4 linked regions of the Drosophila melanogaster genome follow. The gene in region 4 interacts genetically with the main gene of each other region. Each region holds a gene or a part of one and is shown on either strand. Other genes may lie near its edges. The genes, in order: PGRP-LE, Tl, PGRP-LF and Rel.

The links.
Region 1: of Rel (region 4) and PGRP-LE, changing one suppresses a phenotype caused by changing the other (phenotypic suppression), as found in Drosophila melanogaster (one study listed by BioGRID).
Region 2: of Rel (region 4) and Tl, changing one enhances a phenotype caused by changing the other (phenotypic enhancement), as found in Drosophila melanogaster (one study listed by BioGRID).
Region 3: of Rel (region 4) and PGRP-LF, changing one suppresses a phenotype caused by changing the other (phenotypic suppression), as found in Drosophila melanogaster (one study listed by BioGRID).

What each region holds. Positions count from the first base shown.
Region 1 is NC_004354.4:15,798,892-15,807,434, forward strand, and holds PGRP-LE (peptidoglycan recognition protein LE), read right to left. Parts: upstream 4,990-8,543; 5' UTR 4,436-4,989; intron 4,200-4,435; 5' UTR 3,817-4,199; coding exon 3,618-3,816; intron 3,549-3,617; coding exon 3,249-3,548; intron 3,186-3,248; coding exon 3,072-3,185; intron 2,857-3,071; coding exon 2,792-2,856; intron 2,720-2,791; coding exon 2,360-2,719; 3' UTR 2,262-2,359; downstream 1-2,261. Other genes in the region: CG15602 (uncharacterized protein), read left to right, coding at 783-830, 902-1,146, 1,205-1,682, 1,748-2,005. UniProt on the Drosophila melanogaster protein: Peptidoglycan-recognition protein that plays a key role in innate immunity by binding to murein peptidoglycans (PGN) of Gram-negative bacteria and activating the imd/Relish pathway. Has no activity against on Gram-positive bacteria.
Region 2 is NT_033777.3:26,795,312-26,803,849, reverse strand, and holds the start of Tl (toll), read right to left. Parts: upstream 4,810-8,538; 5' UTR 4,370-4,809; intron 1-4,369. UniProt on the Drosophila melanogaster protein: Receptor for the cleaved activated form of spz, spaetzle C-106. Binding to spaetzle C-106 activates the Toll signaling pathway and induces expression of the antifungal peptide drosomycin.
Region 3 is NT_037436.4:9,347,971-9,351,989, reverse strand, and holds PGRP-LF (peptidoglycan recognition protein LF), read right to left. Parts: upstream 2,382-4,019; 5' UTR 2,305-2,381; coding exon 2,166-2,304; intron 2,095-2,165; coding exon 1,943-2,094; intron 1,547-1,942; coding exon 1,162-1,546; intron 1,124-1,161; exon of another isoform or gene 1,103-1,123; coding exon 669-1,102; 3' UTR 501-668; downstream 1-500. Other genes in the region: UGP (UDP-glucose pyrophosphorylase), read left to right, coding at 1-72, 140-247; PGRP-LC (peptidoglycan recognition protein LC), read right to left, coding at 3,815-4,019.
Region 4 is NT_033777.3:9,041,512-9,051,005, forward strand, and holds Rel (relish), read right to left. Parts: upstream 6,467-9,494; 5' UTR 5,925-6,466; coding exon 5,013-5,924; intron 4,717-5,012; coding exon 2,713-4,716; 3' UTR 2,672-2,712; downstream 1-2,671. Other genes in the region: hyx (hyrax), read left to right, coding at 1-122, 190-331, 394-430; Nmdmc (NAD-dependent methylenetetrahydrofolate dehydrogenase), read right to left, coding at 1,146-1,273, 1,341-2,128, 8,853-8,866; Mst85C, read left to right, coding at 9,450-9,494. UniProt on the Drosophila melanogaster protein: Transcription factor that plays a key role in the humoral immune response as part of the peptidoglycan recognition protein (IMD) signaling pathway.

The sequences.
Region 1 (8,543 bases), on a different chromosome or scaffold from region 4:
TAAACGCATTATAACTTAATTAAACTATATATAACTTCCTGTGGCACAGCAAATAGTATAACTTCTCAAAATTACTTACATTGTAAGTGTATTGTTTGCAAAACCTGACTTGTTTGCCCTCATTTTATTGTTTGTTTTCGCTCACTGTTTGCTTCTACTTGCCGTGCTAAGTATTGTTAAACCGAATCAGAGAATGTTGCTAAATTGATTGTGTGGACAAGTCAATCAATTGACGTCTTAGCACCTCAAAACAATTGCACTGACGATACCTGACCGAGGCCGATAGACCTTTACCCTATCGGTAAATAGCTGCCTGTATAACAGCCCGTCTCCACCGGACCAAAGTCCACGCTCGCGTTAGATAACTATCGAGTTAGGTGAAAAATCTCGGATCTCAATGAATCATTTGAAAAGTGATCAGTGATCAGTCCTCGATTGATTTGTAAACAAAATAAACTACTAAATACATTTACAAGACTAAATACTATTCATTAACAGCTGTTGTGTGCCATGGACAATCGATACCAGGACTCACTCGACTATCTCTAGTTCCTAACGATCTGGTCACAACAAAGCTCAAGAATTTAATAATATTGATATTAGACTAAACCAAAACAAGGAACAGCTGATTTTTAGAACGCTAATGCGTTTAAGTCGTAATCGATAGCTCACCCACTGTACACTGTACACCATCCCTAATTAGAACTGGCTTCTTTCAAAACAAAGCAAACGAAATTTGAAACTTTTTCAATTTATATGTTCCATTGGTGACTCTGGTTGCAATGAGCTGCTTTGGCTGCGGTCGCAAATATGGCCTATTCTGCAAGGAGGCAAGTGCCATCAAACCAAAGCAAACCAACATATATCACCTACTTACATTGTGTTAAATCCGAAATTTTAGTATGGATGCCCCAACTGCGGCTACTCATTCTGCTCCAAGTGCTTGAAGAGACCAATGCCCGTGCCCCGTCATGCAGGAAAGGTGCACAATGTGTGCCTCATATGCTACGACAAACTATCCAAACTCCAGGCGAGCGCCGATGCCGAGAAAGTTATAGACTGTGATGCTTTGCCGGGGATCTTAGTCACCAAAATGAACCTGGCTCCTCCATCCAAAAGTTCAGATGGCGCCGATGCCCTATTCAAGTAAGTAAAATACCACATTAAAACACCGATTCTGAAACTATAATTCGATTAATTGCAGCGACAGCCTGCCTGTGGAGGAGCTGCCACAGGCATTGGTTCCCAGTTCCAGTTCGTCACCACATTCCAAAGATCACAAGGATCATATTGATGAGAACCTGGACAGTGAGTTGACCAAACGAATGCAGGACTATAAACGAGTTGATGCCACCGATGATGAGATCCGCACCCGTCTGGCCAATCTCACTGGGATGCCGCATACGAAAAGCTACGATAAGAAAGATCTGCTACTGTCCACCGACCAAAGAAACGATCAGGAGAAAATGAGGGACTTGCTCGCACAATTCGTTGACGAAGCCCAACTGGATCAAAATATCAGCAGGCAGAGGGATGACTCAATTTCCGACATTGAGAGACGTCTGCGAGCTCTGCGCGATACACCCGTCGATTCCGATGCATGCCCATCGAGATCCCAGATGGAAAGTATCGCGGACAACGAAGAGGATGACGAGACACTTCTACAGAACATATTGAAAAAGGTTCGCATTTATATAGTAGCATTATTTTTTTTAAGCCAAATCATCACTTTCGTATTCCCATTCAGTATGTAGCAGAATCGCGCTTACCAGAACCTTCCGAGAGTGAAATTAGTCCAATTAACACTGAGTCGCCCGGCAACACCGAAGAATTGCCCTGGTGCAATATTTGTAACGAAGACGCCGACTTCCGATGCCACGGATGTGGTGGGGAACTCTTTTGCACTCTATGCTATAAGGAGTGCCACGATGATGACGAGGAGTACCGTGCTCACGTTAAGGAAAAGTATTCGGCTCCGCCAAAGCTTAAAGAAAATCACTTCTAATTGTTAATTGTTTACTTGACTGTACGCAAATTTTTGTTTAATTATAGATTGTTTTCAGCAAATGCATTACTATTGTCTGTATTTATGTGGTGCTAGCTCGCTCATATTTGTGCAGTATAATTGTTGCTTCTCTTTCAGTTGTGAATTAAAACAGGTAGGCGATGTTGGTTCCGAAACATCTTGTGGTTTTTCCACCTTTCAGCGCTGCAAAAACTATACCAAAATATAAAGTAACTTAACGAAACTGCCAGTAGCTGGAAAATTTATAAACAGGTGATTTAATGTTCAACATTATAAACGTAACTCGGGTGCATTTAAGTCTAAGTATGTGAAATGGTGCTCTTCTTTTGTCCCTCATTGTTCCTCCTCCTCGATATTGTAAAAGTGGGGCCATGTCTGTATCTCCTCGTACAATCGCCGACCAGGACTCTCCGTCGAATTGCACTGGCAGTGACAAATTAATCTATAGTCGGTGGATATGTGACCATCCTCAACGCCGCGGGCCAACAGATTGCGGCACATATTCAAGGCGTCTGCCGTCGGGAGTTCTTTCATGAAGCATCCAATGAAACTGATCCCCAGCGAGATCCTGTTGTAACCCAGAGTGTGGGCGCCCACCGTTTTCCATCCGCGTCCCTCGTAGATGTTGCCATCGCAGCCGACCAGGAAGTTGTACGCAATGTCATTCCATCCCCGCGACTCAATGTGGAAGCACTGAAATATATATACATAATTATTATATAGTTCGGAGCATATATGATTTAATTTCGCTAACGAAATACTTACCTGCATGTCACGGATAAGTCTTACGTTGATCGCCCGCTTTTCTGAACTCTCTGTAGCTGTGTGTACTGCGTGGTAAAACAATATTTGTTAATCAAGGTTTTAAATATATTCGAAAAGAGTTATAATACGATATAATCTTAGGTTAGTGAGTGCTAAGCATGATGGTCAGATCAAATAGTATAAATTGTTTTAATTATTGCGTCATACTTTTACAGACAACTTGATTTATAATCAGTTGGCAAAAAAATGGTTAAAACGTGCAGCAAACTTGAATACTCACAGATAACCACATATTTAACAGGCAGTTGCAAGGGCAGTGGCTCGTCCATGGGCTTCTGTGCTAGCCACGAAGAGCGCGGAATGATGGCGGACAGCTCCTTGGGTATTTTGAATTCTGTAAGTGAAATCGGTATCCTATGGTTAACGTGTATGCATCCCCTGGTGAATGATAGCTTACTCTGGCGCCTGATGAACACATCCGAGCGCACCCTCTCCTCCGACTCGTCCTGATAGTCGTCTTCGAAATGTGTCGGAGTTTTGGGAGCGTTATCTCTCGGTGGTGAAACATGCCGCCGATCTCTTCGGTTTTGAGTAAGGCCATCGGCTATGATTTGTATATTTCCATTAATATTGGTAACATTGCCGATATGGACGTTCGTGGAGTTGCTTATATTAACGTTGCCCAAAGTCTGAATGCTGTTGATCGAGTTCATAAGGTCCCTTATGGTGTCGCTGATGATCGAATGCTTTTTGGTAGCTTTAAGGTGGGGATATATTGAAAGTGTTATAAATTGAATATAGAAACTTGATCTTGAGTACTACGCACCGATTTGAGTGCCTAGTGTCATAGTGCTGATTTCTTCACTGGTATTTTGGTCGGCATCCTCCTCTTCCTCGGTATAATCGTAGTCCAAGCTGTCCACAACCGAGGACTCTGCAATGGACTCCAGTTCCTCGTCCTCCTGACTAGCCAACCATTCGCGAGTCCGCTCCTGGCTCAACTTTTTGATTCCCGATTCGGACATGTCCGTAGTTTTGGCTTCTGTTTGCTGCCAATAAATGCGCGTGTATCTCTCGGCTGGCCCTTACTTTGTTTATCAATATTGTGAGTTAGAACTGCTCTATTCTCTGATTAGTGTTCGTGTCGTGTCCACCTTACACGATAAGATAAGGACGTTCCACAGGCTATCCACCATTATATGCGCAGGTGCCGTGGTGAAATGCTTTTTTGCATATCAGTCCACTTGGGGCTTTTTTTTTGCATATTTAGTCATGTGTATTAATTATTGTCATGGATATCGAGGATCAGTCTAGATATCGATAAGTATTATCGATGTTCGCATTTAGAACAATTCCACTGCCTTTGAAGGGAGCTTAGCGGTATCGTACATACAGTGGGCCGCATCCACTAGTTGAGTTTCAGATTTCGATAAGTATTTGATTAACCATATAAAGCTTACAAAAATTTAAATACGAACAAAAAAAAATAGTTTAAATTATCCCTCTTTAACCGTTTTGGACATATATTTCTGTATACATATATATATTGTTCTATGAAAATATATAAATATATATAAATAAATAAATAAGTAAATAAATATATATAAATAAATAAATATAATATATATAAATATATAAACATACAAATGCTTTGTCCAGATCCGAAAACCCCTTATCACTGGCTAAAATATAACCAGTTTGGTTCACCAATCAAATCGACTGGAGGTACAATGCACCCAGTGCTGGAAAAGATGAGCTTTCCAACACTCTTGCCTATATTGGGCTTTAATGCTAAGCAGTTAACTGCAACACTGCACCGTGTTTGATAATAAACCTGTAGAGGCAGGTGATTACACCCAAGTCAGCCCATCTTTAAGCATTAGTCATGGGGCTAGAGGTACTCAGATAAACCACCAAAACCTAATTCATGCGCTGTAAACATTCACTCGACCACTCTCGCGTATGCGCTGTTCTTCCCTCCAAGTCTCTCAATTACTTTCTTTATTTTTATATTTAGTTACTGCTGGCTATTCAAGCCAACCAAAGAGCTACCACAACACGGATTTAATAGTCACTTAGAGCCATTAAAAGAGAATAAACTAAAATGTAACCAACTTATAAACTAATTTTATACATTGCTTAAGCGATAGTTTGACGTATAAAACTGAGGAGCTTATATTTATTACTTTTGACTGCACAGTGGAATGCATTCAAAGGTCTGTTTATGTTTTTGTTCCGGTGTGACCGTATTCCGAACAGGAACACAGTCTAATTTAAAAGTTAAATTAAAAGCATATCAAAAAGTGAAATAAACTTTTTAAATATCTTCGCTAATTGGACAAACAGCTTAAATATATTGTAATCAACAGATAACCTAATCAAATATACCAAAATAGGCATTTTTTAGTGGAGTTCAAAAAAGGGCGGCAATCACCTTCAGCTGAATCAGCTGTCAAATAAAGTGAAGCTTTGGTATTAAAGCTTTTAACATAATTTAGGGGAAGAGAAAACATAAAAATGTATGAAAATGAAAGAGAAAAACGGATTCTCTTTATGTAAAATCTTAGAATTAACGCTCTCTTAGGTTCCACAATTGGTTCCGATTGGAACCGCGCACAAAGAGAGCGAGGAAGAGAGCGAGAGAGTTTCGAGTCGAATTGGAATGGCCAGAAAAATATATTTCTGCTTTCAGTTTCGAAAAATTTTTCGATGGAAGCAGCCGAGTGCGAATGCGAATGCTCAATGAGAAGAGCTTTTACTGTTTTACTTTTTGCCTGAAATACATTTTGAGATAATTTCTTATTGGTAGTTCTGTTTATGCCATCGCTTGCGTCTGTCTGTGTTATTTCGATTGCGAGAGCTAGTTAACATTAGTTAAAATTAAAACAAACGCCAGCCATAAGATATAATCGAATTGCGGTTTTTTCTTCTCGTACCGAATTTCCATCCACATCCGCATCCACCATCCGCCATCCGCCAAACCCATCCCGTTCCGTTTGTTCGTCGCTATCCGTCGGATATGTTGTTCTATCGGTGTACCGTACAAGTACAAGTTCGTACCCAGTCCAAAGCCAAACAGATTGCGCCGTGTGCCGGTAAAAATAAGCGCAAAGTTTGAGAAAAACCATCAACATCAGATGATGTGCCCTGGAGGAAAAAACGTCGCGGATTTAATGAAATCTTAAATAATGGGTTCGCTTTAGCACAATTCGACGTTGCATTCGGCCAGCGGTGTGTTGTGTAAACAAAGTTGTAGTTATAGTTTTAGTTTAATTAGCTTCGCATAAGCTGCAACCGGATCTGAAACAGACCGTGGAAACAAAAAAATAATAATAATAATAATAATAATAATAATTGCATTTCATGTATGCCAGTGTAAATTTGCGTTCGTGTGTGCTAAGTTTACATATAGAGAGCGTGGAGTGGATTGGGATTGGATAGTGTTGGATTGGATAGTATCCCTATCCGATTCGCGCCGTTATTGTTAATGCGCAGGTAATTCGGAGCGCTTTTCGGCCATTCTGCCCAATACCAATATTTTGTTCTACATCGTGTTTTTATTTTTATTTTTTTTCCAACATTTTTTTTGCTGTGCTGTGCAGTGCTGTATGCGTTTATTTGACAGCTTATGAATCACCCACAAAGATTTATTTGTGCTGATTGCAGCACAACTGTTGCACCCCATTCAAAAAAAAAACAAATAAATAAATTAATAATCACAAAAAACACCCGCACATCGTCTTCGGGAAAACTACTGAAGCGAGTTGGGCCAGCAAAAAAAAAAAAAATACGTATAAATACAAATAAACAAATAATACCCAAGCCATTGTTCCCCCTCCTTAACGATTATAATTACGTTGCTTTTTTTTTTGCAGTGCATTTATTAAGGAATCCGTCTGATATCAGAACAACCTTAACTAACGCCTTTAAATCAATGATATGGTGGCCAATTCCCATTCCGTCGAACAATCGAATCGAGCGACTAGATTCGGTAAACATCGACCAAGTGTAAACTCGACTCCCATTACCACTGTGTAAATACCAGAAAGTAAATCCAAAAAAAAGAACAATAATTCAACCTGCAGGGGAAACTAAAAACGCACGATACACTTATTTGGAAGTGGATTTAAGTTTCAGTAATGCCAGCCAATGAACGACCAATTGCGATACAATACAGAAACACAAACAGAAACCGAAACATAAGCGAAGAGTAAATAAATGCAAATTAAAACAAAAAAGCCGGGCTCATGACACAATTGGTCATGTAAATCGCGAAAGATAAACATAATCCGTATAATTCGTATAAATATCATCGTAGTCGCGACGGTGGAAAATGTGCAGTGCGGTTAAATCCTAAAAAATGGATCGGTTTTCACTGATAAGCATCCGCATTTGGGTTTATTTCTTCGATCCCTGCAAGGTCCGCGAAAAAAGTTCGCCGAAGAAGGTGCTGTGAATAGCCCAATCAATCCGCACAGCTCTCCATTTCGAGATAGAGATCTTCTCCAGCTTTCGGAATCCTCGCACATCTAGACCATATCCTAGCCAATCGGAGCAGCCGCGCAATAAGTAGCATCTAATCCTGGAGCTTTACACCAATGCGATATGGATTGTGATTACTCGAAGTTTCTGTACAAAAGTAAGTAAATGCTAAGATTAGATACGATGATAATATTTTAAAATTTACCGACGGCAACTTACCCCGTTCATTAGTGGTAACTCGATGATGAATTTTAATGAATTACAATTTATTGTGCATTTGTAATTTTAAAATACTCTTCAATTTTAATTGCACTGTCAGCGATTCTTGGGTTTTTCTTCTTAGAAGCAAATGATGAAAGTCTATTTAATGTCAAAGCCATAAAATTCGATTTTAGTTCTATAGTCTGGCGAAATATTCAACTATTTAGACAATTTATGAATGCTGACAAAAAATAATGTTCTATTAAGTGGAAAAAATGTTGACTAAAGAATTGAGGGATTAATGTTAGAGGAAACAAATCTGATAATTCAGCAATAAAATAAGAAGCAATAATCTTGAAGACTTCGGGCCTTGAAAAGGTCCCATTTATGTTCCTCTCCAAAAACTTAAAATAACAAGGTTTTTTTTTTTTTTTAAATTGGAACAGGATTGCGTCGGTGGTAAATCGGCTTTTTCCGCTGGAAAAACAACAAACAAAGTCTTAATTGAATCCTTATGGGATTTTGTAGGATTATATTTACATACATATTGTAGATTGCCTAATATGTAACGTAAAGTAGCAATACTTAATACTTTGATAGAACACTAATAAAATGAAAAAGTTTATCCTGTGAACTGATCAACTCGATCTGTCCGAATGTTTCGAACGTTTCCAAGAATCAAAAAATTCAATTCAAAAAATTCAAAAAAATAAAAATTGAGTCCCAAAAACTATAGTTTCTGATGGTTAATGCATTCATGTGATCGAATCAAATAACAATATTAGAGTAGAAATCTTACAACACATTGCTTTTCCGCGATAAAAAATCTCGTGCTAGCTTTTATCCAATGGGGATGACAATGATGTGGCAGTGAGATGGGGTTTTTTTTTTTTTTTTTTATCAATTTCGTAGGCACATTTTTCGCTAGAGGTATTTTCAGTTTCGAAACATTCCACGGGACACTGTGCGTTTTCTTGTTGCCATCTTCCATAGAAAGTTCGTGGATTTCGGTTTGGTTCGCATCGGCTTCCCTTGAAACCGACAAAAGCAGGCGACGGAAGAAGCGAAA
Region 2 (8,538 bases), about 18 Mb from region 4:
TGCTCCGATTTTGCTGGATGAAGTAAATTGTTTATAGAGCCTGCATAAAAATTGCAGACATACCGATACCGTGCCACACCATGTCCTCCACCCCCTGTCTGCAACATATTGACACATTTCAGTCCGCGACTGATTGCTATATAATTCCAACTGTCCCCACCAATTGCAGTTTGGACGTGGACGTGGATACGGATTGTGTGTGTGTGTGTGTGTGTGTGTGTGTCTGCGTGGCGGGCGTCTCATTAGGAATGCAAATGTTAGTCCTTGTCCGCCCTTAATGTGCTATTAAATTTTCAAGCGATATGCCATTGATGTAAATTCGAGGGGCTGGCTCCTGACATTTTCGGTTATTGGGGATCATGTCAAGGCAAAATATGTGTGTGTTCAAACATTTTCCCAGGCCGAATGGCCGGATATCAATCATTAACGTTGACAGGAGTCGCAGCAGAAGTCCCTTTAATTGCAGACCATTCACGCAAAGTGTTGAGTGTTGGCCCTTGGGAGTGGCGTTATCATGGCATCTTGGCCATCTAAGTACATTTTCGACTTATCGGTGACTTTAATCTTGAGACGTTTACAAGGGTACTACCAAGGGTGCTCGGCGAGGCATGATGACTCGATCGCCTTTTACTGGCACCTACGAAAACGTGTCTTCCTGTTCTTATTGTTGCGTGGGCATTTCTTATCAGTGAATGCCCATCAAAGGAAAAGCGTAGGTTTTTCCATTTTCCCAATCCATTATCTTTCACTTTGGGTTCGTGTTCCATTCTTAAAGCTAAATCAAGCGTTGGACATTCACCATTTGAGGTATTTTATAATATCTGGCCCAAATTGTTGCTGACTTACTGTTGTTCGGCTTGCCTTTCCCCGCTTTTCTGAGCATTAAAATTAGCTTAAATTTTAATTATAGCCAAGTGCCCATTTGGGCTCGCTGGCCCACTAATGAAGTTCAAATATTCGTAGCATTTTTAATTTTTTTCGGGCCAAACTCCAGATCAAAACCTGAGCCAGAACATTTTATGCTAATGACAAATGCTTTTATCTCGACCAGAACAAAGCGGGCCAAAAAGAAAAGGAGGATGAAAAACGGAAAATTATAAGCAGAAATTGTTGGCAACCTGCTGCTGATGCTGATGCTTATGCCGCTGCTGTTGCTTTTCCTTTTCCAGCTGGGTGGCAGGAGTTTTCCCGACTTTCCACCCCACACTGACCCTAATCATTATGCCGGACTGACCCGCCAAGTTGGTGAAAAGCTGCAGATCGGGGACCGTGAAAATTACACCGCCTTTCCCCTGCCGCCGCAATGAGGTTACAAATATTACATGCCAGGTGGGTGGGTGTTTTGGGTGACTAAATTTATGCATTTTTTTCTATGCGGCTTTAATTAAATTTCTCTTTTTCGGTATGTTTATTTTTTTGGAATTTTTCCCTCCCGTTTTCTGTGGCCGCTAATTTCTACGTTTAGGCGCGTCTAATGTTTCCCCTGCTGTGGTCGTGTTTCTTTATTCAAATGAGAAAATATGTGGCTGTGTCACAGGTGAGGAGTAAGGCCTAATTGGCCCTGCCACACGGGGTTTATTATATCAACATTTACTCGGCTTCATTTGCTATGTCTCATTCTCGTTCTCATATTCTGGCGCCATCTGTTTGATTATGGAAATCGATTAGCCAAGTCCATCTAATGAACTAGACCAGAGCACAGGACACGGATCAGAAAACATGTCGCGACCGAAAACTTCATGAGGGAAAACTCCTGCACGCAGGTAGGGCCAAAAAAAAAAAAAAATAGTAAGAACATAAAGGGAACTGGGACGGGGACAAACAATGGAGAGATAACCCAAAGATAGACAGAAAGTGGAAAATTAATGAGATTTTTCGTTTGTGCAGCTGATGAAGGCATTAGGGTGAAAGCAAGTGCAACGACTTCATTTCCCTCCACCGAGAGAATGTCGCAGTGGGGAACTTATGGTTATTCCTCCCTTCACGATTTTATGGTCAGCTGAAGCAATAAAATTGAAATTAATTAATTGAATGCAAGGCAATAAGCCCTGTGACTGGTCAGGCAGTTCTATCTCAGTTCAATCTGATTGGAGAGTAAAAAACCTCACACGTTGAAATCACACGAAAAGAAATGAGTTGTTAAAAAAAAACAGGTGATAACAATACGGTAAGTATGATATTACGCTATATAATATAAACTTGTACTATATTAAAACGTGTTTATATTAGTCATTATAGTCATCATATAAGAATGTAGTATGTAATTACATATCACTTTAATAACAGATCTTATAGATACAATCTTCAGATCTTCAGTCTTGTTTTTTTTTTGCGTGTATTTGTCTCCCATTTACGTCACGGATCTGGTTTGACTTTGGGTTAAACCGCCCGCTGATCTGAGATCGGGAGAGTAAGACATATGGTGGTTCGATCGTAACGCTCTTTTCAGCTTAGGAGGCTGACTCATCACGCTGAGCGGACCACAAGTCATAGAAACGCTGAAAGCCGACGTGCTAATTATCAACACAAGTCGCCAATAACTAAGAGTGAAATAGCAGAAAGCTAAAAAACACTTGGCAGATGTAAAAACCAAAGCGGAGTCAGCTTTGAATATTGTTTTTCTGCCTTTTCGCTTATCAACCGAGTGGACAAACGCCCTCAATAATGAGAGGGGGAAAAATAAAGCTAACAACTAAAAAAGCGAGTACAATGAATCTTAAATGAGTCTCTCATTGTGCAGAAATATTTATAACAAACGTGTTTGTATGACAATTCATTTTGGGCAACTTTTACCGCCTGCAGTTGGACTAGTGGCGGTTTGGCCATAACAATAACGGAGCCACAATTACAGCTACTTTCTAACGTGGCCAAGACGAAAGACCCAAGCGGAGCATCTTGAACGTTTGCAGTTTGCCGTTTTCCACTTCATTTTTTTCGTTCACTTCTTTTTTTTTTGGCAGAAGTTAAGTAGACTGTTAAATGACTTCCGCAGTTTTACCTTCACAGACGAAGACTAGCATTTTTTTTTTTCAGTTTGCCGCCATTGTTATAGCCGCTTTGAAAGCTTCTTTGCCTTTGATGTGGGCCAAAGAAGAAAAATCTTAACCTAAATCCAGAGTACAGTTATTCGGAAAACCCTCAGGCGAAAGAAGCTCAATGGCAGGATGTTAACTATCGGAAAAAAATACAATCAAAATTTATATATATTGTATAATTATTGTTAAAACAGCATTGTTCTTGAATTCAAGACCTGCTGCTTCTGAGCGATAATCGTTGAACTTTTGGGGTTGAATCTTGGGGTTTTCCGAATTTTTCATATAAATGTAGCTAGTGGTCAAGGGCTATCAACTAAGAAGAGATTTATGGTGTTGGAAAACCCAAGAAGAATCGAAATGAATTAAAAACAAAAGTCTAAGTTTATCATAAGGTCATACGATTTTTACCATAATTGGTACAAGCGAGAAGATTCTTGTCCCTTCCTTCTTCTCTTATTTTGTTTTGCTGTTTCTAATCAGCAACTTATTAGCTTTTAAAGCACAAGTGGGCATTTTCTGGTTTGTTAGAAGTACTTTTGAAACCTGCATTACCCAGGTATTTCCACCTTCAATACGAATAAAAGTCCCCGCAATGAAAACCTGTTGAACGAAGCTCTCTTTGGTAGTAAATAAACTTTTGTTGTGTCTGTTTGTTTTTTCGATTCCAAACTGGTTTTTGGCCAAAAATTCAAAGTGTTAATATGCTGGCTCGTGAGCTTTGGGCCAAATGCGTGTGGCTTTGTTTTCTTTTTTGTTTCGTTCATGGGTTGGCCAAAACGCAAAGCACACCCCAAGGCCGAAGAGCACTTGCTGCTGCACTGCAGCATTTTGCACATTTCCCTGGAAAGTGCCGAGAAAAACCACGGAAATTGTGGACAACAAGAGTGTGACACACACAAGCACTGGGGAAAATTGTGCAACGGTTACAACTGCTGAAACTGTTATTCATCGCCAATTTGCACAGGAAAAAATACGGTTTTACGCAGAGTACTAGTAGTAGTAGTAGTAGTAGTAGTAGTATTAATAGATCAATTTAAAGATGTTTACAAATATTTTACAGCTCATTTTATGTACTTTAAATTGATTTTATCTGACTGTGATCAAAACTGGAACAAAATGTCAACCAATTGCCCGATGAGCCATCAATTTGGTAAATTTTTTTCTGTGCAATTATAGGCGAATTGGACTGATCAGAGAGTGGGACAGAGATAGCTGAGCTTAGCGCGAGCCAAGCGAAGCTTAGCACAAAGCAAAATCGAATGGGAGATAACGAGACAGAGCGAGATGGCACGGTTCAAAGTGTAATAACTGAACAAGGAGACGTAAATACTTACCGTTTTAATACGTGTTTTATTAAATGTGAGGTTAGCTACTCCGCTGCGATCTCTTGTGCAAATATTAATATTTATTTGGCTTTTCTTAAGCTGCCACGAACAAACACGCACTGGCACTGTTGTTTAGCTTCTCTGTTCGCGCTTGTTCGCACTTTGAAGCCGCGATTTTTTGCGATTTTATTTTTGGTTAAATGCTTGCTACACTTTCACACATTTGCATTTAATTGCGCCTTGTGTTTCTTGTTTTTATGGATTTTGTGCTGCGTAGCGTTGCTCTTAACTTGGCTTATTCGGTTGCCAAATCGCTGGCCACAAAACGAGACAAACAAAAGCGGCCCACAACACACGAACGCGGGACTCTGGCTGGGAAAATCAAAAATCCAACTGCTACAAGCGCGACAAGCGTGCGTTCACGTCGGCGATTCGGAACAAACTGAACTCGACTCGAAAAGAAAGAAGAACTGAGAGATGAAGAGCTGGTAGTGCGCTTAGTGTGGAGGGAAAGACGAGAGAGTGGCTGAGTCGGCGGCAAGATACCCTTTGCTCAATATAGAAAACATTATTTACTTAAATTTGTAATCAGCCTATTAATATATTTTATTTTAAATTTTAATAATTTTGTCACAGTCTTTATATGTTTTATATCATTTTGTTTGCTTTTGGTTCCTTAAGCTCCAGTTTGTTAAGACATTTTAAATTATTATTATATTTTTTATATTCTACTTTTAATAACATCCTATCTTGCTACTTTTTTAACCTTAAATAACGTGTGAAGTTATTTCTATAAAGCTGTTTGGGTTTTATATATAATCAGCTTATTATAAATAAATATGAGTTGGATAAAAATGCTAGTCTCGAAATTTTTTTATATTTTTGACGTACTGATAAGAATTTTTAGAACAACAGTTCTTGTAGCAATAACACAATGTGATAATATGAGGAATCGAGCTTTCAGTTGATTTATGTTAGTTGACTAGGATTTTTATAAAAAATAAAATTCTTTCCCTAACTTCTGAGTGGCAAACGATATAATAAGTCGAGCAATTTCTTCTACCCCACAAATACCGTTCGAAGGTACAGATGCGTGGGAGAAAAAGAGAGAGACACACGAATTATCTTCGTGTCTGTGGTCGTTGCACTATAAACAAATCGCATGCGATAAAAGTCATGCGAGAGAGGAAAACAGTTGAAATACAGGTACTTCGTATAAGAGTATAAGAGAAAGTGGTAGAGCAAGAGAGCCTTCTACTGTTTTGTTTTCATTTTTGGGGGAAAAGCCGGCAGTTGTTGTTGGCCAGTAGTTCTCAGTTCTTGTTAGCCAAGTTTAACCGGTTAACTTCAAAGTCTAAGCATCTCAGGCAGCATACGTAATAACAGTGATTATGGATTTATTAGTTGATTAGTCTCTCTCTCTGAGTAAAATGTAAAATGTAATTGCCAGCACGTAGCAGACTGCTTGCTGTTGTTGTTGTGTGCCAATTAAAACCACACTTCCACAACATCTACCCTCTCGCTCTGCCGCTTGCGACTCAAATGAAGTGGAAGTGCGTTCTGCTAATGCGGAACAAGGATGGGACATAGCTCCCGGGGGAGCAGCGTGTGAAGTGCGACAGGGACGGGGAATGGGAAATGCAAATGGAAATCGTATCCCTCTGCAACTGTGTTTTCTGTAATTATGCACGGCGTATGGAAAATTAGGACATGCTTATGAATAATCTTTGAATTCATGTACAATTTTCATAGCAATCTTGTGTTGATTCCATTTCCCAATTGGTAATTATCTAAAGTCTTTGAAATTTAAATAAATTTGTTGAAATATTACAACAACAATTTTAATGTTTACTACTAGGCTTACACCACAATTTTCAAGGATTTAAGATGTTTTCTTTCCAAGCAAATAACTTTACGTCAAATCAAACAAAGCAACGCAAATCTGGATAAGCTTAATAGGCAACATAATGGCTACTTCTCCCCGCAAAGATGCATTAATATACACATTTGCCACACTGCCCGTGTTTTTCATTTCAAATACCTAGGATTTACTGTAAATTTCAAAGATATTACCGAAATATGCGCATGTAATTCTGACCGAAAGGAAATTCCAGTAATTTCCCATTCAATGTACCCACATGGGAAAACCCAGCGCACAGGACACACATCGGGAGATTTATTCCTCATTTGCCTTGTTTTATGTTAGCTGCAAAATTTCACTTTGAATTGTGCCGAAAATTTAATTTGATTTCATTTTCATCAGTGGAGAAGCACATAAATAGTGCAACAAATGAAATTTGTACGTGCCACAGATGCTGGAGGAACCAAAGGCAGGCCCACATGTGTTTCAGGTCCAGATTTGTGACCATTTGTGCGTGGTTGGCCACGACACGCAGAGCCATAAATTTCGGATTCTCAATAAACTAATGGCAATTGGTATCCGAAAGATACATTCTATATACATATACCCCAACATCCATATATATATCTCTTCACACACACGTACAAACTCATTCTGGCCCGTCTGCGTTATTAGTTTTTCTTTTCCTTTCGCTCGTCGCTCTTTTCAATCCGTGTGACACTTTTATCACACACGTTCGACTCATCAAAAAGTTAACGACGATAATGACAAACATTTCAAAAGCAAACACTCTGCGGCATGCAACCAGATCCATTTTCCCCAGCCGGGAGATAAATATCTAGCATATAATGCCCGGCCTTGTTGTTGTTGCGGGGCAAACACCTTAATTAACTTTTTTCATGAACATCTTGGCTTGGAACTCGGCTCCCCCTCCTCTTGCCCCTCGAATCGGTCTAACTTGGCTTATTTATTGGGGTTATTTGCTCAACGAGTGGTGGTCTTGTGTGTGTGTGTGTGTGTGTGAGACGTCCTTTCATACACAAGAACACACACTTGCTATCGCATGGGTAACTACCTGCTCATTTTCACCTGAGTACGTGTTAATTTTGTATATTTATCTTTCTGTTTCCCGAGCTGCCCGATCTGAGCGCTGCCAAATAGAAAGATTGTATAAATTTCATCGTAAGCGGGAATGACAGCGGCACCCAAAACAAGGGCAGTCCGAATTCCAATTAACAGCTGGCAGCTTCTTCTTTGGCCCAAAAGCCGAAATAGTAAAACGCAAAGACATAACCCGGCAGAAACAACAGTTTCAGCTCCAGCAATGGAATTGTATCTGACACGTTCAACTTTGACGTTGACTTTGGCTTTTCCTCAGTACTGCGCCCGAGTTTTCCCCCCTTCACTCCTCCTGACAACGTGGGAAATGCAAATGGCAAGACGGCGAAGTTACCAAGTTTTGGACAAACACTCATGCACATGCCGAGAGGAACAAACAAAGGCTTGGAGCAAACCCATAAGGGAAAAAACACTGCCAGAAAGCGGTTATCTTATAGATACAGATCTTGTAGATATCTTATAGATACATATATGCGTAACATTTACCTATCTTTTAGAATCATATATAAATACTCGTATATAGACCATGTAATGTTCTTCATATAAGATCAAATAATTGTATCTATCTAGCTGCTACTATCCTAAAAATGCATAAATTAAATTTTCCCAGTGAATATTTAGTTTCCACTTGTATCCGCACTGTCTACTTTGCTTTGAACTCGCTTTGTTTCATTTTCAGCCCCACCCCCACCCACTTTGGGCCTGCCCTTTCCCTTTTCCGTTTTCCCATTTCGGCGTTATTGTTATTTCATATTTTGTCTTTTTGCTTTTTGTTTATCCCATGGCTGTCAGCTTCCTTCGATATTTGATATGATTTTGTGTGAGTTTCGTTTGGTTCGTCGGCTACCGTTGGCCGCGTCGAATGGTTTTTGTTTTCCTTGAGGAGGCGTTGAAATATGCATATGAGCCGCATTTCCGAGTCTCAAGTGGCAGCGATGCATTTGCTGCAGCGGCACATGCGCAACATATGTGAATGTTGCATTAGCAGTTCGCAGTTGCAGTTGCAGTTGTACTCTTAATTTGCAAATGCAGCTTGGCCGGAAGTTGGCGCATCTCTGAGCCGCTTGAGCAGATTCCAGATGCCACATTCCCCCACCAGATATGTACATTTGCAAATGTAAAAATAGTTTTGCACCAGCAGATGCAAATTATGGGATAAATGAAGCGCGCTGCCGAGGGTTCCAGTTCCTGGAGATCT
Region 3 (4,019 bases), on a different chromosome or scaffold from region 4:
CCGGACATCATTGAGCTGGATCACTTGACCGTGAGCGGAGATGTGACTTTCGGTCGTGGCGTTTCTTTGCGCGTAAGTTTGAATAATATTGAATGGTATTTTAAATACGCTAATAACATGTCTTAACTTGATTCTGCAGGGCACTGTGATCATCATTGCTAACCATGGCGATCGTATCGATATCCCAGCTGGAGCCATTCTGGAGAACAAGATTGTATCTGGCAATATGCGCATCTTGGACCACTAAATCAAATCCTGTACAATTGGATATCGTCTCACTAACTGTAGTCTAATTGTCTAAGTTTTATGTAGTAGCCATGTTCGCGTTTCAAATTTCCAATAACGAATTTCATTTAGCCAATTGTTGTAAGCACAAAGTGTGTCATCTGTATATATCGTTAAGTAGAAATCAGTCAGGGTTTTTAATCAAAATCGAATTGCAATATGTTTTCAAAAATGTTAGTTGTAGTCGTTCAAATGAGATATAAAAGATAGCAGCTGTTGAAACTCAATAAAGGCATGTTTATTTCTATAAATACGAAGGAGATTGTCACCTATTGGATGTGAGATATTTGTGATGCTTAACATTAGGTCTTAAATTAATATCACTTTGAAAAATGGCACAGGAATGGCACTAGCCAAGTTTCATTCCCCTTGCTTTCAGTTTTCTATGACTTTTCTAAATCGTCAATTAGACTATAGTTCTTGCTTATATGACCAAGTTTTATGCCCTGTTTGATTAGTTCTAATGCTATCTTTTTATTGCTACTCGATGGACCAATAAAGGCCACGACTAGTTCATCTGCATCTTTTGGAGGTTCACAGCTGTGATCCCAACCTCTGGCCTCGTAGATGTTTTCGTCCCCAGCCGCAACGAAATTATAGTTAATATCCTTATATCCATTGCTCTCGATGTGCCAATTTTGCAGAAGGCGCACTCGAAAAGTGCACTCGGCTTGAGTGAAACATGATGGCGTGTTGGTTGCCACAAATCTCACGCTCTCAATTGGCAGCTTCAAAGGAGTAAGTGGCACTATAGGTGGCTGGGCCAACCAATAGGGTCGGGTAACGATCTTTACAGTCTCATTGCTTAGGAGTCGCACTGAAAATAAATTTTGAAAATAAATATATTCTCGTATTTTTTTCTTTCAACTGCATTACATGATGTTGGATCCTGCGTGAATCGGGGCCAATTTTGCATCAGCTCGAAAAGCTTCTGGCCAGGACTTTCGGTGGGGCTTAATTGTCGATGGGCATATATATGATAATCCGGTTGCAATCTATGGAGACGTACGCCCTCGTCCATCAGTCGCTTGGCTGCTTCGATTTGTCGAGCTGGTGGCTCCATATTCACAAAAGTTCCGATAAAGGCTATGCTAACGGAGATGGCACCATATCCATTCACATGCTGACCCTGGATGTGCCAGCCGCGTCCTACGTATATTTGACCATCGCCGCCCACCAAAAAGTTATAGCCAATGTCGACCCAACCAAAAGATTTCATATGGAACGCCTGAATGGTCTTCATGCGGTATATGCAAACATCCTGGGCGAGATAGAAATAAGATTTATGCATAAGTAAACAGTCTTTTAACCGCTAACTTTTAGAAAAGTTTAATTAACTCGAAATAGTGCTGAAGAATGGGGGTTTTTTACCGAAAAGTATGTCGATCTATAGACTCAAAGCGGGGGTTTTTTTTTATGGCAAGCTATTGAATTATAATATCGGTTTTACGAGGCTTTCTAGGAAAAGTTTTGGGTTGATTATTTATATAAATTTTTGTAGATAAGAAAAGAACAACTGGTTACAATAAAGCCTTTTCATGAATCCTAAGTAATTGCCGCAGTAAGCTAAGTAAAACAAACTGGTTTCAAGTTAGCTTTAAAGCAATTCTATATCACTTTGATATTAACAATTTAAAATTCCCAAAGTAAGACTTACCTCTTGTTCGCATCCTTCGGTTGCCGTGTGATGAATGATAATATTGGAGACGGGAAGCTTAAGGTGCGGGTACTTCCCACTGGGTGGTTCCCCCAGCCATTCGCTGCGATCGAGTATGTGTAGGCCCTTGTTCGGCGAATGTGTGGAGAAGGCTAAACCAGGTTAACAATTGGTTATTGGTTATTAAATTGTATTCAATCTACGATTCGCTTTAATGACTCACACATCATCCACATGAAATAGCCAGCTGCTAAACCCACAACCATTAGAAGAATCACACAGAAATAGAGAAGCTCGAAGCGAAATCTTTTCTCGTTATTTATCGGTTTTCCTGGGTGAGTAACTACCACTGTTTTCGGCATCTTGAGATGTTTTCACTATATCGCACTACCCACAACCGCGATCGATCCTCGCACGACGAACGTCCGATGCCAACTGAAGTGAGTACGCACCCGATCTCAAGTCCGGTTGTTGTTTATTTCTGTTGACGGCTCCGAAAAATCCCCGGACATTTGAAAACCTAAAGCGACTGCGCAGTTCATAAGCTTGTTGATAAGAGATATTCATACCTATAAATAAATATATGTATGTATAACTAAAGAAAGCTTTTTAAAGCTTAATATAGGGTGCCATTTTTGCAACAGGGTGCGCGATCTCTGAACGCCGCCCACTTGAGATTAGAAAGAGATATTTGATGGTAGTGAGCAGTCCAAGAAATGGGAATCCCATTTTGTCAAGGGGGCGTATACTTACTCTTAGCGTTTTTGAAAGAAGCTAGCTCATCTTTGGACCGAAGTTATGATGTTTTCCGGTTTCTTGGAATGAGTGACCGACTACAGTTAGCGGCTGCGATTTGATCAACTGACCCAAAAAGAGTTCTTCACGATTATTATTCTGTTTTTATTTTGTCATAAATAGAACGCAGATAGATCGTGATAAGTAGAAAAAGAAAGCGAATTTAGCAAACATTTCTTTAACAGACAAACTAAAACTTAGGTAAAATGGAGCCTATACAACCTCCGGATAAAATATTTGCCAGATATAAGATATCCCAGCCAAACTGAACTCCAGACCAACTAACCTCCGGATAGTAAATGTCTGGTAAAACAAAACCCAGCCACAAAAACCCCCAGGCAAACTTACCTCCTGCTATAATAACCACTAGACGATCTAACCTTCAGATGAAATAACCCCAAGCCAAACTAACCTCGGGTTAAATGAACCTCCAGGTAATACACTCCCCCAGTCAAACCCCCTAACAAACGAGCCTCCGGATAAAATAACCCCCGATAAAGTAACGCCCAGGAAAGCTAAGCCCCTGGCAAACTAACCTCTGGATAAAACAACCCCAGGCAACCTAACCTCCGGATAAAAACGGATAAAATGATTCCCGGATAAATAAACCTCCGGATAAAACAACCGCAGGCAAACTAACGTCCGGATAAAACAACCTCCAGGCAAACTAACCTCCGTATAAAATAATAATTATAATATAATAATATAATAATTTTAAGATAGTCGCGAAAGAAATTAAAAATTCCAATAATCGGGGAAGCCCCATAACTCGCAGGTGGAAGAATGCGTAGAAAAGCCAAGCCATATTACAACTTTTCCGGTTTCAGGCAGTTCCAGACAGCACCTCTACAGAAATTCCCCGATTCCAGTTATCAGCTAGTTCTTGATCCCCATACATGATTGAAATTCATCAAGTAAATCATTTTGTTTTATTTAATATCACATTTTCTTTTTAAACGAATCGTTACTCTAGCTAAATCGAATATGCCACACATTAATGGGAGAACACCTATGATACAAAATCAATACGAAAATAAATGATAGTATTGCAAAATATCGAAATAGCTCTTAACCTATTCACGACCAATGAGTCCAGTTGGCGAAGCTTGCGTAGAGCGCATCCGCCTTAAAATCGGTTACACTTGGCATCAATTTACTGCTCGCCGTAAATCGGTAGCTTGGTGCAATCTTGCCCAGCTTTACGCCACGCTCCAGCAAAAGACGAGTAACACTTAGTTGCTTGGCCGACGGCTGGATGGTCTTAAACGATCCGATATAGGCG
Region 4 (9,494 bases):
TAATCCCACCAAGCTCTCGCAACAGGAGTGGCAACGGGTGGTGGCCGTCTTCGTTATGGGACCCCAGTGGCAGTTCAAGGGCTGGCCTTGGGAAGGCAATCCCGTCGATATATTCTCAAAAAGTTAGTTAACATCATGCCCAGCTCTCTAAGTTTAATTCACTAAGTCTCATTTTCTTACCTACTGCAGTTTGCGCTTTTCATTTGTGCTTTAGCGAAATGAAATTGGACTCAAACGTGGAGCGCTGGTCAGTGACGCTACTCCGACTATCGCAAAACAAGCGTCATATGGATCGGGCAGTGCTCAGCAAATTTTGGGAAACTTTGGACAAGTAAGTGCTTATATAAAAATCCACCATTTCGTTACAAAAGATTTACAATGCAATCTTTTTAGATATATAGCCAAGTACAAGCCCGATTTACGATATTAACCCTCACCGCATTCTTAAACGTTCTGCTGAAACACGACACCTGCTGTTTTCAATCCCACTCCCAAGTAGTTACCATTATTATAGACAGGCTGTACTACATTATGCAACAAACGACGCAAATAGTATGTTACAGTGTGCGCCCAACTTCCGTAGGAAAGACACCAAGCCGAATCTGGGGCATTTGGCCAGTTCCAGTGCGAGTTTCCGATTAGAGCCCGACCAGGATTATCTCGCTTTTGGCAACAGCATTATAAGTCGCAGGCCTGCGATCGTGCAAATAGGCCCAAATACGCAGTTAGTAGTTAAGATAAAGTTTTTCGTTCAAATTGTACAATGTAAACTACAAAACACAAACATCTGAGAGCAAGTATCCTTTGTATTTTTAGTGATAATAAACAGTTAAAAGCCATTCTGTTTCGGTTATTCAAACAGAAGGTAACATAATTGGAATTTATTTGGCTGTCATCAAGTATATTTTCTCAATTATTTAACCTTTTCAAAGATCATATATTGGAACTTTTTCATACCTCCCATCGTTAAAGTCATAAATCAAACGAAATAGTAGTATTTCATTATTTCTGTTTATATAGCAAAATATGTGGGTTTATGTCATGTTAGCTTGTGGTCAGTAACTTTACTATCTAATATAGGTTTAGGGGATTAAATAAAAATACTATTTCTCGGCCAGCGAAGCACGATAGTTACTGGTGAATCTTCAGGAGGACTTGCGATCATCGAACTGCTTCCTGGCTGCCTTCAGCGTGTTGTGCATCAGCATGGCCACCGTCATGGGACCAACTCCGCCGGGCACAGGAGTGATGTGGCCGGCGACCTGGCGAACTTCTGCAAAGTGATGAGGAAATGAATCAATCTTGTTGGTCTTTAGTGATTTAATAGATCAGCCACACACCTTCAAAGTCCACGTCTCCGACCAGCTTAAACTGGCCAGTGCTCTCATCCTTGATGCGGTTGATGCCCACGTCGATGACACAGGCTCCGGGCTTAACCATGTCCTTGGTGATCAAACCCGGCTTTCCCACTGCGACCACAATGATATCCGCTTGGCGGCAATGGCGAGCCAGTTCCTTGGGCGGTGTATACCTGTGGCAGATGGTCACCGTGGCATCCATTGCCTTGGTGGCATACTTGCCATCCGCGTGCAGCAAGATTGCCATCGGTAGACTGACATTCTTGGAGCGTCCCACCACAACGGCGTTACGACCGAGAGTTTCGATTTTCATATGCTCCAACAGTCGCTTGACTCCCAGCGGCGTGGCCGGAATATTGGCCTCCATGTCCAGAGCCGTGCGTCCGATGTTGACCTCATTGAAGCCATCCACATCCTTGTCCACATCGACGGCATTGCAGATGGTGCGCTCATTGATGTGCTCGGGTACCGGCAGCTGCACCAGTATCCCCGTGACCTGGGGATCCTTGTTCAGATCGGCAATCAGTTGCAGCAGCTCCTCCTGCGTGGTAGAGGCGGGCAATCTCTTGGTCTCACTGGAGATGCCCACCTCCCGGCAGGCGACCATCTTGTTAGCCACATACTTCTCGCTAGCCGGATCCTCGCCCACAATGACGGCCGTGAGATGGGGCTTCGGATAGCCAGCAGCCTCCATTCCCTTGAGCTCGTGTGCTAGTTGGGTGCGCACCTCCTGGGCTATGGCCTTGCCATCGATAATTTGAGCCATGTTGCTGGAATGCGATCATAATATTATTTAATTGAATGAGATTACACTGTACTATTCCTTAAAACATTATTTAGTTGCGATATTCTTGAAAAAATATAGCAGGAAAGGTCATAAACCGGGAATGATAAGGGCTGTCGGTAAATCCCCGCCTGTCACTGCAGTTACGCAACAGTAATTCCCCCACAACACACACTTAGGCGCATAAGTACATGTATGATTCACCCACTTGTTTACCAAGCGGCGTGCGCGAGCGGCAATGAAAAATTAGTGATTCCCCATTCTTAGAATGTACTTTTTAATGCCGAGCTATCGATGGATCCCCTTTTGCTAGTGATCTCATGCAGGGCGCCGATGGTAATTGTTTGAGGGAACAAGTTTAGATTGCTTATAGAACTATTCTAAAGAATAGATTCCATGGAATAATAAAGGAAACTAAATAAATGCTAATAAAGGAAAATAAATTAATGCTCTGATATTTAAAAATAAAGCTTGCTATCCCAGGCATCCTAGTTTCGCGTATTTTTCATTCCACAAGAGAATAGTATTTGTAAAACTAAGGTACTTTATTGATCAACATTCAATACATAATCAAGTTGGGTTAACCAGTAGGGCGTAAGCCTGTGGATCCACTGCCTGCAGGGCACGAGCAAATGTGGAAAACTCTACAGAGGCTCCTTTTCTTTTCACGTGATCCAACAGATCCTCCGCGCCCAGCCATATAAAGGCGAACTGCTTCAGATGCGTCTGGCGGGCTAGTTGCATCCATTTCCGATCTTGGGGATCGGACCCATGTCCCAAAGGCTGATTCAGCAGCGAACAGAGCCGGTCGTAAATGAATTTGTTTTTGAGCAGCAACTGCAATTTGTTGTTGTCCATTTCGGTGTCTCTACTGGATTCATCTTTCTGTCTTCTTGGACCACTACTTAGGTCCAACTCCACGGAATCCTCGTCCTTTGTTTCGATGTCCATCTCCTCGGACTTGATCTCCAGCTGACCAGCATCGCTACTTTCGTCCGACGATGAATCGATCTCCTCCTTGACCTTACATGGAATCCAGGTCATGGCCAGTTCTCCCTTCTCCGGATACACATTCTTCAGCAGCTGGACCACCCGGTCATTTGCCTTGCGTTCGGCCAATTCCAAGGGAGTATGGCCGGCTGCATTTTGTGCCTGCAGGATGTCGGTAAGGTTTTCATTTTGGGCATCCAGAATGAGCACCAATAGCTCCACACTTTGCTCCAGAACTGCCATGTGGAGTGCATTATTACCATCCATTGTGTTGGCCACGCTAATCGAGGTCCGATCATAGCTGATCAGTTTCTTGGCCACATCGTACTTGTTCTGTCGAATGGCCATGTGCAAAGGCGTCAGACCATCGTCGTTCGTTAGCGAGAGGTCCAATTGTACGGTTGGCACTCCATTAAGGAAGCTTTCCACGCAGCTTAAGTGCTCCTCCTTGACGGCCACATGCAGTGGGGTATTTCCGGCATTATTCTTCAGATTTGGATTGCATCCCATACCCAGCAAAGGTCGTATGTAGTGCGCTCGGTCTTGCTGGCACGCCACATGCAGGGCACTATCACCGTCCGCATTCAAAGTGCTATTGACCACATCTTTCAGATTGAAGTAGTTCATCACCTGTATCGTCTGGATGGCCAGCTTCAGTTTGTCCTTTTTGTGGCTGATCACTTCGTGCAGGAGCGTGTCTCTATTGTAGTTATTCAGAGCATGCTCGATAAACCACTTCTCCACTTTGTGGTGCGAGATTTTTATTGGCGATATGCGGTCCTGTTTGTAAATTTCGAATAAGTCATCCAAGCATTTAATTGTACGATTTCGATGCGATGGCACTTCCGCCCGGTTATGACCATCGTGCTGCAACTCTCCCATGTCTAACTGGCAGATCTTCTCGAGATCAGAAGAGTTGTGCTCGATAAGTTTGCGGAAATCTTCGGAAGCAATAAATTCATTTAGATGCTTTTCGCGTCCGAACTCCTCACTTATAGTCTGATCATGCTGTGAAAGGTTTGGCAAGCCATTTGGTGGCTGCGCCAAGCCCAGCGTTTTGGGCAGATCCAGCGAGTTATTAGAGCTTTCTGTTCCCGAACTGCTGCTATTGGCAGAGGACCCGGTTCGTCGGCGTTTCCTCGACACAATTACGCTCCGTGGCTTGTAGCGGAAGGGCAGCGCCGGGAATGAGCGCTCATCGTCGGAGGGACGAATGAGCTCGATGTACACGTTGACCTCGCGGTCCACGTCCTTATCTTTGTACGGAGGCGTCTGGCACACAATGGCATATTGGTGGTGTACATCCGATTCGCGGAACTTTGCGTATGCCTCCCACACGGTTTCCCCGTCCTCATCCTCCTCGAAGAACCTCACTTTAATGTTCTTCTTGCTGACCTTTTCCACCAGTAGAATAAGCTCATCGTTGCCCATCACCCCGCCAGTGGGTTTGCTCAGGCGGACGATGCGAAGCTCTCCAGTTTGTGCCGACTTGCGGTTATTGATTGCATTGCTGTATACAGGCGGTGCAAGTGGAACCCATGCGCCGTTGTCCTCAATTTTAAAGGCCTCAAAGCAGAGCCGCACCTAAAGTTGGTGTTACTTTTTTAGTGAGTTCTTTGTTGCTTTTCAGTAAGTTAATTGCTTCGATGTTATATTGCTCAGTTATTTTAGCAGAGAAATTTATATAATTCGAGCTAAACGAGTAGATACTTTACAGACTGCTTAAATAAAAAGATTAAAAGGTAGCAAATGCAACCTATAATTAATTGACTAAAGCATTCTAAAGTGAGCAATTAAACGTGTGAATAATAAATGCAAACGTGCATATTCACCTCATCGAAGCAAGCAACTCGATATTGTTTACGCGCTGGTTTACCCACCTGGTTCAAGTTCATGTCCTTGGCCTCACGCTCTGTCTCCTGATGCAGTTCCTGTAGCTGTTTGTGGGACAACTCGCGGCGGTTCATCTGAAAGACCAGGCGATCCTGCTTCTTCTTGCACAGTTCCTCGAATATGTACTTCTTGGCGGTGTGTATGATGCCCATGTTGATAAATTGCGCCACATAGCCGCGCTCCTTGGACACGTGCAAATCATGCGGATCGCACACATCCCGATCGTCCTTGCGCACGACCAGCTGATGGGAATGTGGGCTGTCCAAGTTAGTTTGGAACAAACTGCACCGGATGACGGCGGGTCCATCGTAGTTGCACAGTGTAACCTCCGGGAAGGTTTTGGGCGTCCGCTTCGAATTGGCGCCATTTAGCGATCCATGTGTTCCATGCATCTCGCTCTTGTACCGAAAGCGGAACTTCTCCACCGGTTGCTCAACGATCCGCAGCTGCGGCACGTGTTTGATATCGCCGTCAGATGCCAGGCCATTTTGATGGTATCCAAAGTTTTGGGACGGTGGCACAGTGGCCGGAGCGGGCACAAAGTACTGGTGATCCATGTACATGTTGCCAAAACTGGTGACATTAGCAACGCCGAAACTAACGCCAGTGGAGTTTATTAAATTGGTAGCACCCAATTGGCAAATTCCGCCGTTGTTCAACAGCTGATTCTGGTATGGTGAGTTTGCCATTGGCGGCTGGTGTGGTGAATTGCCGCCGGGCAAATTAAGATTGGCGAAGTCCGTTTGCAGTTCCATGGTTTTCGGGGAGTGGGCTGGTGAAAAGGATCGGTTGGTGGAGTTGGGTGATGTACTGCTGCTATAGCCACTGGTGCTGGATGCATCGTTCATAAACATCACATTTTTCCCATTGTCCAGGTCGTAGTACTGATTCATGTTCATAGTCCGTATCAATCCAATATTTCTGATCAATAGCGTCTTAACAACTCAAAAGTGATCCGCTGCCTTCGCCGATCGGAACGCTAATGATCGAAACGAGCTCCGCCGATGGCTGACCATTCGTTTTAGGTACTTCCCCGATGTTCGGCGGATGGGAAATTATCTGCGGCGGCCACGTCGAGATGACTCACGGGTTTTTCTGGCGCACCACTCAGTGTGATTTTTTTGATCGGCTATACTATAAGCATGTACGGAATTCTGGATTCGCGGTTGTTGTTTACAGAGCGAAATCACACTGTTTATATGTATTCCACCCAACTAATACATATATGCAAATTTATGGAAAAACGACGCAGCGAATCGGGGAACTTTAGTGCGCCACTGCTGGAACGAAAATGAACGAAGCACTGCGCGAACACAAGTAGTATCGCTCACGAGTTGCGAGCAAAACGCTCGCTGCCCTGATAACAGGTTTAAGCTATTTGCGCCGAGCTTTCGGGTCAGCTTTTCACGGAAACTACGGTTCAAATTCATTTATTTGAATACCTGATTTCAACACACCGCGCACACTAAAATAAAAACAAGGCAGAGCTGCCACCGGCAGATAAAACGAGTTGGGTGGCAACGCCCCAATCAGATGTTCTACAAATCTAGGGATGGAAGCGTACGCGATTGTTTGTTCCCATTATTCTTGATTAATTTTTATAAATATAATTTAACCTATTTCGACAAAAAGATATAAAGGTATATAATACAAAATATTAATATAAATAATACAACACTTATATAAATATAAAGATATAAGGAATTTTAATACAAATTTATAATGAGAACCGGCGTAACAACTTATAACTGTGTTATAAAATAATAATAATTATGCAATGCAAGTACCGAATATTAGTATTATTAATAATATATTTTTACGCTTTCCATTGGCTTTTCCCTTAATTCACTTTCGTCACGCACTCATCTCTAGCGCACGCTTTGTTTTTCTTCGTATGATATTACGTTTTATTTCGGACCCGATTCACTTTCTTATGAGCATACACACCTGAAGTTAGACTTTCCGGCGTAATTCCGGGAAGCCAAGACCGAAATGGATCCTATAGAACGTCGCAACATGGTTGGAAAATTTAAAACACCGGAATGTTCTTTTATCCTAAGACACTTGTGCTAAATGATAAAAAAAAACTACATAAGCATGCGCCACTGAACTAATTTGCAATTCAGTCGGTTTCCACTCCCACTGGACCCGCGCACACACACACGCACACTCACGCAGAAACAGCTGATCTGTTGCCAGGCTGCACTTAGAGTATATATGTATGTATTTACGATCCCTTTGCACTTTTTGATGTGTTAATCAATCTTCTCACTTCGCCGTTCCTCTCTTACTCTTGTTACCATGCCAAGGTGTGTGGGTGTGTGTGTGTAAATGCTTTTACACCTTATCAGTTGACGATGAGTTTGTTTATATTGATAATCAATTAGCAGGAAAAACATAAACAAATCGGGGTCTTGACTTTGCAACCACTAGTCTGCGTCTAGACTAGAGTTATTAATAGGCAGGCTACAAAATTAGCTCTTTATGCGGACAAAGGAAAATTCGTTTTCTTGGCTTGATAAAAGCAAACGTGTCTTAAGAACGCCTATTCAAATTTCTTTGAAGGTCAATTATGTATTTTTTATGGATTTTTGTTAGCCAATTTTCACTAGCAGCATACCTTATTGTGACTTCTTTTGTTGGCTTTTGCGAAATTTTCCTGGTGGAAAATTCGAACTGCACTGATTGTCGGATACCGATGGACTGTATAGAACGAAACAGATCACTGAATGAGCCTCGCACGTGTTTGTATATTTTGGATAAAAGCTTTTCGGTTCAGCGCACTAAATATGCGTGTGCGAGCGAGCGCGACTTAAAAGCTTTAAACACTTGTCGATAAAAGTTTTGAACTGTGTGCATATAAATATGGCTTAAAACGGAACAAATACATATGTGCATATATGGATTTTCGATTTTGAAACAACGCGGAAAATAGCTAAACACATATTGAACATATTTTATTTTCTCAACATGAAAATTTTTAAAAGTTCGCCTTGTGTGCACAAATATTTATTTAGGAAATTCTTAAAGACGTGGAGAACAACTTTTGTTGCTTTTATTACCAGTTACATGATTACGATTTTGGTTGGGAATATTTGCTGTTCTAAAATTTCCGACACGAGTTATTTTTCAATAGTTTGTTTTTCTTCGACGCGGCGGATGACGAAATCTGATTTCCGATTACTGCACTCGGAGATTAAGTTGGATTCTGTTGGCCGGTGACGTCAATTTGCTCCACAGGGGGCCACCAACGTCTCCCACTGATAAGCCTTTGAGTTCAGCCCCCTCTGATCACCCATTACCTATTCCATAAGTTATGGAATTGATGCACAAACGCCTGGTAACTGGCGATTTTTGTTTTTAGCCAGAGGAAAAACAATGCAGGCGTCATTAACAATGTTGTTCGCGGACGATGATTGCTCCCGTTTTGGGTTGAAAAACATGTTATTTTCGAACGGAGATAACCCCCGTGGAAAGTGCGAGTGGGCTGCCCAATGGGAGTCATGCTTTAACAAGCTTGTTTAATTTACAACTGGAATATTTCGACGAGCATTTTACTTTCTCTGGTCGTTACAAATTTGTGTCCCAAGGATGCGTGATAGAAAATTATTGTGAATTTATTGTCAAAATTGTTTTAAGCTATAGAACTATTTTCGAAGTTTTCAGAAAGAAAATGTTTTGTCCTTTATTTTTCATTGTAACTCATGTTTTCAAAACAATAATTAAGAACTAAAAATGCTTGTAGGAGAAGCACATGGCATAATTAATATATAGCTATATTCGATGAATAATGGAGATGTAACAAAGTACGGATTTCAAAAACTCACCTTGTGAATCGCATTTTGAATCGAGTTCTTTTAATAACTGAAAACGTTTGATCTGTTGAATAATATCTGATGTCCTATTAGAGTTTATTGCACTAATATACTTTTAAGCTCGTTAAATATTGCAACACTTTTTGTTTAAAGTATTCTATAAAAGAACTTGGTTTCACACTTGTCGCTTTGGAATATTTAAAAGAAGCGCGTTGCAGCCCTTTTTATGGCTCTTAAAACGGGTATTTTTTAGTACCTTTCTAGTTCGAAATTTCGAAATTGGCCTTAGATTAAAATATTTCAGGGGTAGACAAATTGCAGATTTCTCAATAACCAAGAATAAAACGAAGATAATGCTGCGCACGTACAATTTTATCTGTATGAATAATCTGATACTGTTGTAAATTCAACGCTTAACGTTTGAGTGTGTCTTAGCAGTGCAAGTGTGATGCATCTTTTTTGGTTTATTTATGCCAACGCCATCTGGCCACACTGCAGTGAAAAGGAAAACAAGAAGTCGCAAATCCAATCTCCATTGCAATTTTGAACACCATTCCTTTGCATAACTATTGCCCACGCAACTGCATCTCTGATGCCCACAGACTGGCGATGAAGCCCCAGAGCAAGCGGAAATCATTCCCATTCAATGCGCCT